3 linked regions of the Rattus norvegicus genome follow. Each later gene encodes a partner of the first gene's protein in a complex. Links are inferred from orthologs where the notes say so. Each region holds a gene or a part of one and is shown in the gene's direction. Other genes may lie near its edges. The genes, in order: Plrg1, Cript and Snrpd2.

Region 1 (3,565 bases):
AAGGGCATGGCCCCTCTACCTGTGACAAATAAGGCCAAGTCACAGTTAAAGCTGCATGTCAGAGTAGGCATGTCAGAGTAGTGTCTGGGTGTGTTCAGGACATACAGGGCACTGAACCTCCTTTACCTGTCTTAGATTGTTTCACATATGGTGTCCTGGCAGACAGACAGAAGAGTTAGATTCCTAAGGGAGAAATCAGTGTGCGGGAGGAAATGGAGGAAGAGCCATCAGCCCAGCGGTCATAGTTAGCAGAGAAGGCGGGTCACACTGACGTCAGTACATCACTCCTGATGCTCAGCTCCTCCCTCTGCCGCTCCCCTCTCCTTCCCTTTCTTGTCCCCTTTCCTTCCTCTTTCTCTTGCCATCCCTCTCGTTCCTTCTTTCCCTTTCTTCAAGATTTTTTTTTGCCCAGTGTTTGTGTGCATTGGTTGTTAGTGTAGCAGTGTGCCCAGTGTTTGTGTGCATTGGTTGTTAGTGTAGCAGTGTGCCCAGTGTGTGTGTGCATTGGTTGTTAGTGTAGCAGTGTGCCCAGTGAGTGTGTGCATTGGTTGTTAGTGTAGCAGTGTGCCCAGTGAGTGTGTGCATTGGTTGTTAGTGTAGCAGTGTGCCCAGTGAGTGTGTGCATTGGTTGTTAGTGTAGCAGTGTGCCCAGTGAGTGTGTGCATTGGTTGTTAGTGTAGCAGTGTGCCCAGTGAGTGTGTGCATTGGTTGTTAGTGTAGCAGTGTGCCCAGTGTGTGTGTGCATTGGTTGTTTAGTGTAGCAGTGTGCCCAGTGAGTGTGTGCATTGGTTGTTAGTGTAGCAGTGTGCCCAGTGTGTGTGCATTGGTTGTTAGTGTAGCAGTGTGCCCAGTGTGTGTGTGCATTGGTTGTTAGTGTAGCAGTGTGCCCAGTGTGTGTGTGCATTGGTTGTTAGTGTAGCAGTGTGCCCAGTGAGTGTGTGCATTGGTTGTTAGTGTAGCAGTGTGCCCAGTGAGTGTGTGCATTGGTTGTTAGTGTAGCAGTGTGCCCAGTGTGTGTGTGCATTGGTTGTTTAGTGTAGCACACTGAAGAAACCAAAACTTCGCTCTGGGATGTCCGTGTATTTCAGCAGTCGGACAAGGCTGGTGGCACTTGGAATGAATACAGTGATGATTTTGTACTGTGATGAACAGGAACATTTTACTGAGGCTGTCGGGACCAGTGAGCACACAGGGATTTTTAAAGCTGCGAGTTTCTTTGATGCACTGTACTCCCCATTAAGTCTTGTCAATCTTTGTTCCAGTTACACATTTGCATCTGGTTCTCCAGATAACATAAAGCAGTGGAAATTCCCTGACGGAGGCTTCATTCAGAATCTCTCTGGGCACAATGCAATTATTAACACGCTGGCAGTCAATACGGATGGAGTACTTGTATCTGGAGGTAACACAAGGTTTTCATGGTGTTTCGTTTGCCCTTCTGTTGTCGTGAGTGAGTTAGGGTAGTCTCTACAGCATCACACTATGTTGTAGTGCACTCTCCTGATCCACGGTAGCCTGTTGCATTGTTTAGACATCTTTGCATTCCCATGTGATAAAGGTAGGGACTTATGCTAGTAACTGCCCGAAGTGTAGTTGGATTTTAAATGTTATGGTTCCTTTCCAGGTCTATAATTCTGAATTAAACACAAATGAAAGTAGACAAAACCATATTAGGGAATTTGAGTGTGTGTGTGTGTTCCACATCCTTGTGTTGCCGATGTGAAGTTTATATCATGGGCCATGAGCTGTGGAAGGGATAGAAATATAACTACGTGTTCCTTTACAGCTGACAATGGCACTATGCACCTTTGGGACTGGAGAACTGGCTATAATTTTCAGCGCGTTCATGCTGCTGTACAGCCTGGGTCTTTGGACAGTGAATCAGGAATATTCGCTTGTGCTTTTGATCGGTCAGAAAGTCGGTTACTAACAGCTGAAGCTGATAAAACCATTAAAGTTTACAGAGAGGATGAGACTGCGGTAAGTTCTTAGTTTCCATATCTATCTATCCATGTGTCCGTCCATCCATCTGTCCATCCATCCATCCACCTACCTACCTACCTATCTTCCTATCTTCCTTTTTAGTTTAATTTAATTTATGTTTTATATTTAGAGACACGGTATCACATGGTATCCCTTTCTAGCCTAGAATTCACTTTGTAGCTTAAGTTGACCTTAAACTTGAAGCTGTCTTCTTGCCTCTGCCTCCCAGAAGCTGAGGTTATTGGCATGAGCCACCACACCCACCTTTGACGTGCATTTTAAAGTAAAACAACTGCATGCCAATTGGCAAGGACTGCTCATTCGATTACAGAAAGAAAGGGACTCACTCGAGTACTTTGGGGTTCCTCACCTGGATAGTGATCTTGGGACTTCTGTGTGGTTTCATTGATGCAGAAACATCAGTATAAAAGCATTACTTTTTAAGTCCAGTTCTTCCTCAATACAGTTACCGGAAAGGAAAATGATACATGAATCATGGTAAACAGTAGACTGCTGTGGAAACAAGATGTAGAATTACAGTGGTGGTATTGCTATAATATCTAAATGGAAATCTGACGTTAGGTGAAAATCCAACCCAGCATGTGGTAAACCATTTATCCCTTGTTAACCTTGGATAGTGCCAGGAGTTTGTCAGCTGTTTCTAAAATTCTTCCAGATCTCCTAAACACATCCTGCCGATGAATACTGTGACTTAGCAGAGACAGGTCTTTTTGTTGAAAGGAAACAAACTAATAAAATAACACTTTGTTTACTGTTCTGTTTTCAGACAGAAGAAACTCACCCAGTCAGCTGGAAACCAGAAATTATCAAGAGAAAGAGATTTTAGTGTCCTCATGGCTGTCCTGTTCATAGCTTGGTGTTGCTGAGGATGTCCAGTCATTCATGGATGCTCACTTGCAGAAAACATGGCTGCTTTGTATTTTACAATAAACTGCTCCCCATGTCCCTCACCTGTGTTTGATTTCTAAAATAAACAGTTTATAGTTTTAGTAGTAAAATGTAAATATAAAGAACTCAGGCTTATTGAGCCTTGCTGATTCTAACACCATGTTGGCAGGGATGGATGCGCGCGCGCGCGCGCGTGTGTGTGTGTGTGTGTGTGTGTGTGTGTGTTTCACCTAGATGTACATCTGTATACAATGTGTGTGCCTGGTGCCCATGAAAACCAGAAGAAGGTGTCAGATCCCTGAAAACAGAGTTACAGATAGTTGTGAGCCACAATGTAGGTGCTGGGGATGGAACCTGGGTCCTCTAGAAGAGCAGTCAATGTCCTTAACCATTTCTGAAACCCCTATTTTGATAATTCTGTTAGAAAAATCCTAATGGATGTTTGAGAGGAAATTTTTTTAGGCAGTTCTTTGAAAATTTAAGACAATGGCTGATAATTTGGGATTAAAGGATTGAAGTTCTTTCTGGGCATGGTAGTGATAGGTACATGCTTTTAATCCCAGCACTAATGAAGCAGAAGCAGGTAGTTCTCTGTTAGTTCGAGATAGCATAGTCTGTGTAGTGAGTTCCAGGTTAGCTTGAGCTACCTAGACACGTGGTGGTCGGGATGGTG
Region 2 (3,749 bases), on another chromosome or scaffold:
AAGCCATTTCAAGTATCGCCTCTTTAACATGAAGACACCCTCCGGGGTCCGGACAAGAACGGATAACAATGAAAAGACTTCGGAAAAGTTTCTCAGATTCTCCCCTCCACTGAGGGATCGGGCAGGTAGGGGGATCAGAAATCCATCCTCTAAGTAGAGCTTGTCTCTGGGCCACCTGCAAATCCCTATCTAACACGGCGAGCCGTGCCCAAACGCAAAGGCCGGTTGAATGGAGCCCTTCCTCGGGCACCGGCGGGCGAGTTTCCCTAGCACGCCACACCTGGGAAGCCGCCCTTCGGAGTCGCGATCCCACGAGAGCCCGGTGGGAAGGCATGGCTGCTCCCGAACCCTCCTGAGCAGCCTTTGCCCGGGCGCTGACCGCGGCTCAACCCCACCCAGGTGACTCTGTCCCAACCCCGGACAGCGCGAGTGTGGGCAACTGAGGGGCATCATCAGAGAGAGCCCGGGCGGCCGACCCGGTAACCTGAGAGACGGTGACAGAGGGTCGGTCCCGCCGACAGACGCCGGGATCTCAGAGGGTCCGTCGCGCCATGCATCCTCTGGCCCGCCGGAAGCGTGGCGCCTTGGAAGCCACGGCAGCAGTCCGCAGAGCGACCTGCACCTGCCCCAGGAGAACTTAGGAAGCATCCCTCCCGCTTACCTAACTCTCCCGCCCGCCGAAGGGAAGGGGACACCACCGCCTCCCACCCTCAGGTGCGACAGGCTGCCATGGCCCCTCGCGCAGGCGCAGACCAGAAGGCGGGGGACTCACAAGCGGATAGCCAATCGTTGAAGAGAAGAGGCGGACCGATAAAGGAAGCCCCGCCCATGAGCTCGCGTTTATCCCTCCCGCGACTTTCTCCATCCTGGATAGGCCGGAGCGGGAGGGCTGAGTACGGAAGCGAACTGACGTAACCGGAAGAGGAAGTCTTCTCAGCTGTGTTGTTGATGTATTTTGGCAGCTGCTCCTGCTTTGCGGGTTGAGGGGGACAGGACGACCCGTGGAAGGATGGTGTGTGAAAAGTGTAAGTTAAGGCGCTGCTTCTGTGGGAGGTGGAGGCTGGAGGAACCCGACGAAATTCTCTTGGGATTTCGGCCTTTGTTTTTTCTCACCGGTCTGTAGTATAACCTTTGTCTTCCTTCCTTGCCCCACGGTCCTTGCCTATCCCGGGACCCTATAGCCCTATGCTTTGTGTTCAGAATGGTCTCAGTTCTGCACATCTATGCTTGTTTCTGTCACCGTCCTCGCGCCCTCCTTGGATCTCTTTAATTATAACTTCTTGACAGGATCCCAGAGACTTAAAAATCTTTCTGGTAGCATCTAGAGTTGCCAGGTGTAACAAATATAAATCCCAGGCTCTCAGTTACATTATAAGATTATAGGCAATGATTAATTTCTAGTATTATTAATATGTCCCGCATAATATTTAAATCTTGGCTTTTGTTCGCTGTTCCTTACTACAAAACATGCCGCATTTAATACAGATTTTACTTTAAAAATTAATTCAGTGGTCATCTGAAATTAAGTTTAATTGAATATCTTATACCATCCCGTCAGTTCATTAATACAGCATTAGGTCAGGTGAAGGAGAGAGTCTCATCACCACCAAAGAAATCTATGTAGTCATCCCTGGCTTTTAGAAAGGTCTTTTTAACTCTTTAAGTTACCATTCAGTAATTCCAATGAAACCCCTGAGATTTGTTGAAAATACTTATTGTTTTGTTTTTTCGTTTTCTGTTTTTTGTTTTTTACTGCAAAAGCTGTTGATTTGTTTAAAACAGCTTTCTTTTCTTGATCTCTTTCTTGGGCTAGACAGCCTTCTCTGACAAGATTCCAACTTGGATCTCAGTTAATGGCTAATATATACAACCACAGTACATAGAACTCTGGACACAGACACCACCTAGTAGCTGTGGCATCAGACTCAGCCACCATTCTTTTTTTTTCCAGTAAATTCTATTTCTTTATTATTTTTGAGATAATATAATTGCAACATTTCTTTCTTCCATTTCCTCCCTCTAAACTCTCCCATATATCCATCAAATTCCTGACCTCTTTTTTCACTAATTGTATTGAATGCATACATGTATATAGTTGTTTTATAAATGCAGCCTGCTCAGTTCATATATTGTTACTTGGATGTATGTTTCCGGGCTGACCATTAGCACTGGACAACCAATTGGTATGCCCTTCCCTCGGGAAGACCACTCCTAGCTACCTTCATCAGCTCCATTCTCAAACAGCTTTTTATTCTTTTTGAAAGTGGGGAAAGTGTTTAATTAAATGTGGCCTAAATGTAGATATGACCCTGTCCTTTGTGCTGTGCAGTAAAAGGCCATTTCTTTCTATTATAGTTACTCCTCTGCTCTTCTGAAAAATCTAATGTTTTACTATTTGTAACCTCCTAGTCTGTGTGCTCATTACACTCACCCTGTATGTAAACTGAACTCCTGCTCATACAGAAGCTGTACTGTCAGGCAGCCACCTCAGTTCTGCCTTTCCTTCTGTCATAAGTTGCTCAAAAAGTTCTTTGTCTCCAAATTTTTAGAGTTCTCTTCCATTTACTGGGTTCCAGGGTGTTTGTCTTGGTCTGCTTTGTTTCTCTTGATCCATTAGATCTTTGGGAAATGGTTGACCTCAGCTAGCACATCCATACCACTGAGTATCCAGTTCACCTCTCCACCTGACCTTTTCCCTACTTAAACTCTAAGAAGTAACTGTCCATTTGGATCTTGACGTCCGAGGCCCTCTACAGACAAACACCTAAGCTATCCTTCCAACCTCCTTTCTCCCACCTCACACTGAGCTCGCCAGAGTACTCTGTGCACTGTGGTACCCCTGAGCTTCCCATGCCTGACCTGGGGATGTGTCCTTTATTTACTGTTTGACTTCATCTCCTCATCTACTTTCCCAACACTTAAGCTCCATCTCCTTAGTTCACAGCTCAGGCTTCCAGCTTATGGTTCTACTGAAGGCTTCTTCACTTTTCAGAAAGGCTCCAGTCAGAACAAGAAAAGGTTATAAGCACATGCTCTAGGTTTCTGTGCAGTCCCGCCTGCTTCGTTTCCTCCCAGCTATCAGCCTACAAGCTCTTAAGGAGCTCGTGAACTTGGGTCTAAGCCCCTGAATCTAGACTCATGGCTTTGTTTTCCTCAGTACCTCCCACAGTGCTTTGTACAGACTAGGTGATTAGAGAATGTGGGAGAAATGAATACGTTTGTCAGAATTGTTTAAAGTATAATCAGTGGAACCTGTTGGTAGGGCATCTTGTTGTCCTGGAAGTTTTATTTAGAACCAGTATCTGTTGCCCACAGTTGCTATCATTCATTCATTGATTTCTACCCTGGTGTTAGTAGGTTCCTACTGTAGTCTCACTTTTCATGTCATTATGTACTTCAGGCATAATACAGTATATTTATTATTTTAAATTATTATTGTAACGTTAGCAGAGAAATGCGTTTTGTTATTTTATTTCCACACAGTGTGTGTATTAGATGACAGTTGTACTCTTTTGCTATCTTGCTACAACAGGTGAAAAGAAACTCGGCAGGGTTATCACTCCAGACACATGGAAGGACGGGGCCCGGAACACCACAGGTACTGCTTGCCAGTAGGAAACAGGAGCTGGATCAAGTGCTTGTGGACACAGCTCTAGGGCTTCACTGTTTGCAGAGTGCAGTGTTAGATGATGACTCTCTCGTCCATTAAACACAAAGAGGACCGGATTCCCCTGTGAATTCATATCTTT
Region 3 (3,749 bases), on another chromosome or scaffold:
TCCAAAGATTTCCTAGATTGGGAGAAATCTTCAAAGCAAATCTGATCCAGCCTACTGCAGTCCTGACGAAGAAATTGCAAACGGGTGATGGAGACTTCTAAATAAATGGTTTGGGCACAGAGCTCAGATCTACCAGTGTTTCTATGCGGATGCATCCTCTTCAGAGGGGTCTAATCATAAAACAAGCCTGAAACCTTATTTTGTTGGGAAGGGGCATACGCTCAAGTGATGGATAAAGAAATAGCACAGGCGGCAAGGGCTAAACGATAAGGCCACGCTAACCCGAGACTCAATATGAAGGGAAAGAGGGAAATGACGCTGGCTGGGCCCCAGCCAAGGCTTACCCGCAGATCCCGGCTCCGTGATACCTCCTCAACCCCAGGGTGCCAGCTATTCCAGACGATATAAAAAGCCAAGCCCAGGGCCAGCGCCAGCAGCAGCAGGGGCAGGAGCTGCACCCGCGGCAGAAGACGGCGCTTGGAAAGTGAGGGTGGTTTCATGAGGCCGCGATCCCCGAGCCGCTGCCGAGACCGCCCGCGGCTGGCCGGACTCATGGCAGCTTTGCCCTGAAACCAATCCCCCCGCAGGGTGGTTTGAGTTTAGGCCAAGATTCGCCTCTCGGAGGTTACAAATGCCAATAAAGAAACACAGTAACTGCGTCCTCCCCCAATCGATTGCGATTGGCTCTCCTAAGCGCCGCACCACCCAAAAGGGAGCGCGGAAACCTTAAGGCCCGCCCCCACGGGAGAGAAACAGGCAATGAGCTGTGTCCGAATATACGAAACCTTCCCCGGCGCGGGGCCACGCCCCTTACGGAAGTCGATCAAGAAACTGTGGTTCAAGGAAAAAGGGGCGGCATCCATCCCTAAAACAAGGAACCGATTGGTTTGCCTGAAGCCATGCCCTCAAGAAAATTGTCGGCGGGTATTTTGGAAACCGGGTTGCGTTTTCCTTCTCCCAACTAGACAGTTAGGCGGGAAAACAATTTCAGTCAGACCCCGTTTTATTTTCCGCATGAGCAGACAACCTATTGTGATCCTCAGAGGCTTCAAATCCTCCCTATAGGCATTTTCTGCAGGAGAGCGTAGCCTTAGAGTCACTATGGTAACAGGGCACGCCCACAGTCGTGATTGCGCAGGCGTCGACGGAAGTCAGCCGCAGGAGACGGAAGTCCCGCCCTTCTCTTGCTGTGCTCCAAAGGCTAAAGCAACGCGCTTGGAGGCGGGAGTGATCTGCTAGCGAAACCTTCACCATGTGAGGCCGGGACGGGCTTCGGCGGGGACACGAAGATGGAGGGGGACGGTTTAGCTAAATAACAATCGAAATGGGGTGCTCATAGCTGAGGGTAGAGTTTCTCGGGCAAAAATAATGTCTTCTGAGGGATTTGAGAACGGGCATGGGGCCTCGGTTCTTGAGTTCCGGAGAGGGGACAGCTTTATTCCATAATGGGTGTAAGACTCTTCTAGGTACCGAGGCTTGCGGAAATGAACCGTAAAGGAAAAACTGAGTCTGATGGCACATGCCTAGAATCCCAAGCCTAGAGAGGCTGAGTCAGGAGTATCGCTAGTTGGTGGTCAGCCTTGACCAGCTTCATAGCGTGTCCGCTTACAAAAGTAATAGTAATTTTATATAGAAGTGGTCTTAATGGATGAAGAGCTTGGCGGAGAAGGAAGTACTATTAGAAATAGTAAATAGAGACGTATGGGACTTAACCAGGATAAATTAGGACTTTTGAACCTAATTAGAGATTGTCAGAGTAGCAGGCTACTACAATGGTTTATTCATTGAGCGGATATTATGTAGACTGTAAGTTAGACACATGGTAAATAGAAGGTCCTTGCTACCAAGGAAAAAAAATCTCTCAGGGCTTATAAAAAGAATCCAATAGGAAAGCCATAGAGTAATAAACAAGTACATACAGTATGTCTTAGATGATCAGGAGTGTGAATGGAGAATTGAGTAGGAAAGAAATAACACCAGTAGGTAGCACAGAAGTATTGGGCATTGAAAGCCCAATACTTGGGCTGGGGATTTAGCTTAGTGGACAGAGTACTTACCTACTGTGGGCCCTGGGTTTGGTCCTCAGCCACACACAGACTAGATGTAACCCCAGTATCCTGGAGGCAGAGACAGACAAGTCTGAGTTCCAGGGGCAGGTCTATTTATACAGGGAGACACTGTTGTGGGGTGGGATGGAAGAGAAATGGCCAAATTTTTGGACATATCATGGAAGCAGATGACAAGATAAGACGACAGAGTGAGGTTTGAAAGAATCAGGTGCCAGGCATGATGGTGAGCCCCCTGTAATCTCAGACCTTGGGTGATGGAGTCAGGAGAATTGAGAATTCAAGGTCAACAGTGGCTGGACGAGGTTTGGTTAATGAGCTGGAGCAGGCTAACTTGGAAATGTCTCTCCTGCCTCCAGAGAAGACTGTACCAGGAAGGGCATTTGGGGGCCAGGCTGGGGAGACACTGGACAATGTAGCTTTGGTCACTTATGCTTCCAACCTGAACCCGTCTCACCCCCCGGGTTCTCTATCCAGGAGTCTCCTCAATAAACCCAAGAGTGAGATGACCCCAGAGGAGCTGCAGAAGCGGGAGGAGGAGGAATTCAACACAGGTCCCCTCTCGGTGCTCACACAGTCGGTCAAAAACAACACGCAAGTGCTCATTAACTGTCGAAACAACAAGAAGCTCCTGGGCCGGGTGAAGGCCTTTGACAGGTGGGCATTGTCTTGGGGAAGGTCATTTGAGAAGAATTGTCGTAATAAGGTGGGCAAGGTGACAAAGTGCCTTTAGTCTCAGCACTCAAGGGGATCACTGTCAGTTGGAGCCAGCCAGGGTCACAGGGCAAGACCCAGCTAGCTCAAAAAATTAGAAAGTGGGGGTGCTTGGCTTTTTTTTTTTTATCTTATGTGTTTGGGCGTTTTGTCTGCGGGTGAGTCTGTCTGTGTACTGTGGACATGTCTAATACCTTCAGAAGTCATCAGATCCCCGGCAGGAGGAGGGACAGGAATTAAGATGTTTGGTTTGTTCCTCTGTAGGCCAGACATCAATGTCAAATATCTTCTACTGCTTTCTAGTTTGTTTTGAGGCAGGGTCTTTAACTATGTAGCCTGGGCTGGCTACAGATGTAGCAGAGGCTAACCTTATGCTTCTGATCCTCTTGCTACCATCTCCCAAGCGCTAGGATTACAGGGGCGAAGCATACCCTCCTGCCTTGTTTTAGTTAGCATGGAAGTTGCCTTGTGACGTGGTCCTACACATCTGGCATTGTACTTTGCTCATCGTCACTGTCCTCAAGCAAGCATTCGTGGAATGAACTGATCCAAGTGTGAGCACATGTCCACCTGCATGAGGACAGGGCCATGAGGCACTGGAGTGCACGTGTTGGGAACCATGTCTAACCCCAGAACTTAAGGTTTGGAGGGAGCTAATGCTTCTCTCAGAGTTAGAGTTAACTGCAGAGCCAGGGCCATTTTGGTGACCTTTACTGTGTACCGGGGTCCTAAGTGCTTCTTTCATCCAATCTTCACATCAGCCCCATGAAGTAGACTGTTTCCATTTCAAGAAGGGGGAAACTGAGGCACAGAAGGGACACTTAAGATGGGGCTGAGATCACACCTTGAAGCCTGCCCATCCCCACTGTGGAACCTGAACTCCGTCCCTATGCCTGCTGCTGGAGGGTTCACACATTCAGAATGTCCCCCTCACTCTGGCTTTTTCCTCCACCCTTTACCCCATCAGGC

The links.
Region 2: Plrg1 (region 1) and Cript share a complex: the UniProt entries of both Homo sapiens proteins name them as parts of the minor spliceosome. The link is inferred for Rattus norvegicus from reciprocal best matches to the Homo sapiens genes PLRG1 and CRIPT.
Region 3: Plrg1 (region 1) and Snrpd2 share a complex: the UniProt entries of both Homo sapiens proteins name them as parts of the minor spliceosome. The link is inferred for Rattus norvegicus from reciprocal best matches to the Homo sapiens genes PLRG1 and SNRPD2.

Annotation. Positions count from the first base shown.
Region 1 is NC_086020.1:170,719,570-170,723,134, forward strand, and holds the end of Plrg1 (pleiotropic regulator 1), read left to right. Parts: intron 1-1,262; coding exon 1,263-1,402; intron 1,403-1,786; coding exon 1,787-1,980; intron 1,981-2,770; coding exon 2,771-2,830; 3' UTR 2,831-2,950; downstream 2,951-3,565. UniProt on the Homo sapiens protein: Involved in pre-mRNA splicing as component of the spliceosome. Component of the PRP19-CDC5L complex that forms an integral part of the spliceosome and is required for activating pre-mRNA splicing.
Region 2 is NC_086024.1:13,340,132-13,343,880, reverse strand, and holds the start of Cript (cysteine-rich PDZ-binding protein), read left to right. Parts: upstream 1-946; 5' UTR 947-1,009; coding exon 1,010-1,025; intron 1,026-3,532; coding exon 3,533-3,598; intron 3,599-3,749. UniProt on the Homo sapiens protein: As a component of the minor spliceosome, involved in the splicing of U12-type introns in pre-mRNAs. Involved in the cytoskeletal anchoring of DLG4 in excitatory synapses.
Region 3 is NC_086019.1:87,925,231-87,928,979, forward strand, and holds the start of Snrpd2 (small nuclear ribonucleoprotein Sm D2), read left to right. Parts: upstream 1-1,178; 5' UTR 1,179-1,252; coding exon 1,253-1,254; intron 1,255-2,543; coding exon 2,544-2,723; intron 2,724-3,747; coding exon 3,748-3,749. Other genes in the region: Qpctl (glutaminyl-peptide cyclotransferase-like protein), read right to left, coding at 345-554. UniProt on the Homo sapiens protein: Plays a role in pre-mRNA splicing as a core component of the spliceosomal U1, U2, U4 and U5 small nuclear ribonucleoproteins (snRNPs), the building blocks of the spliceosome.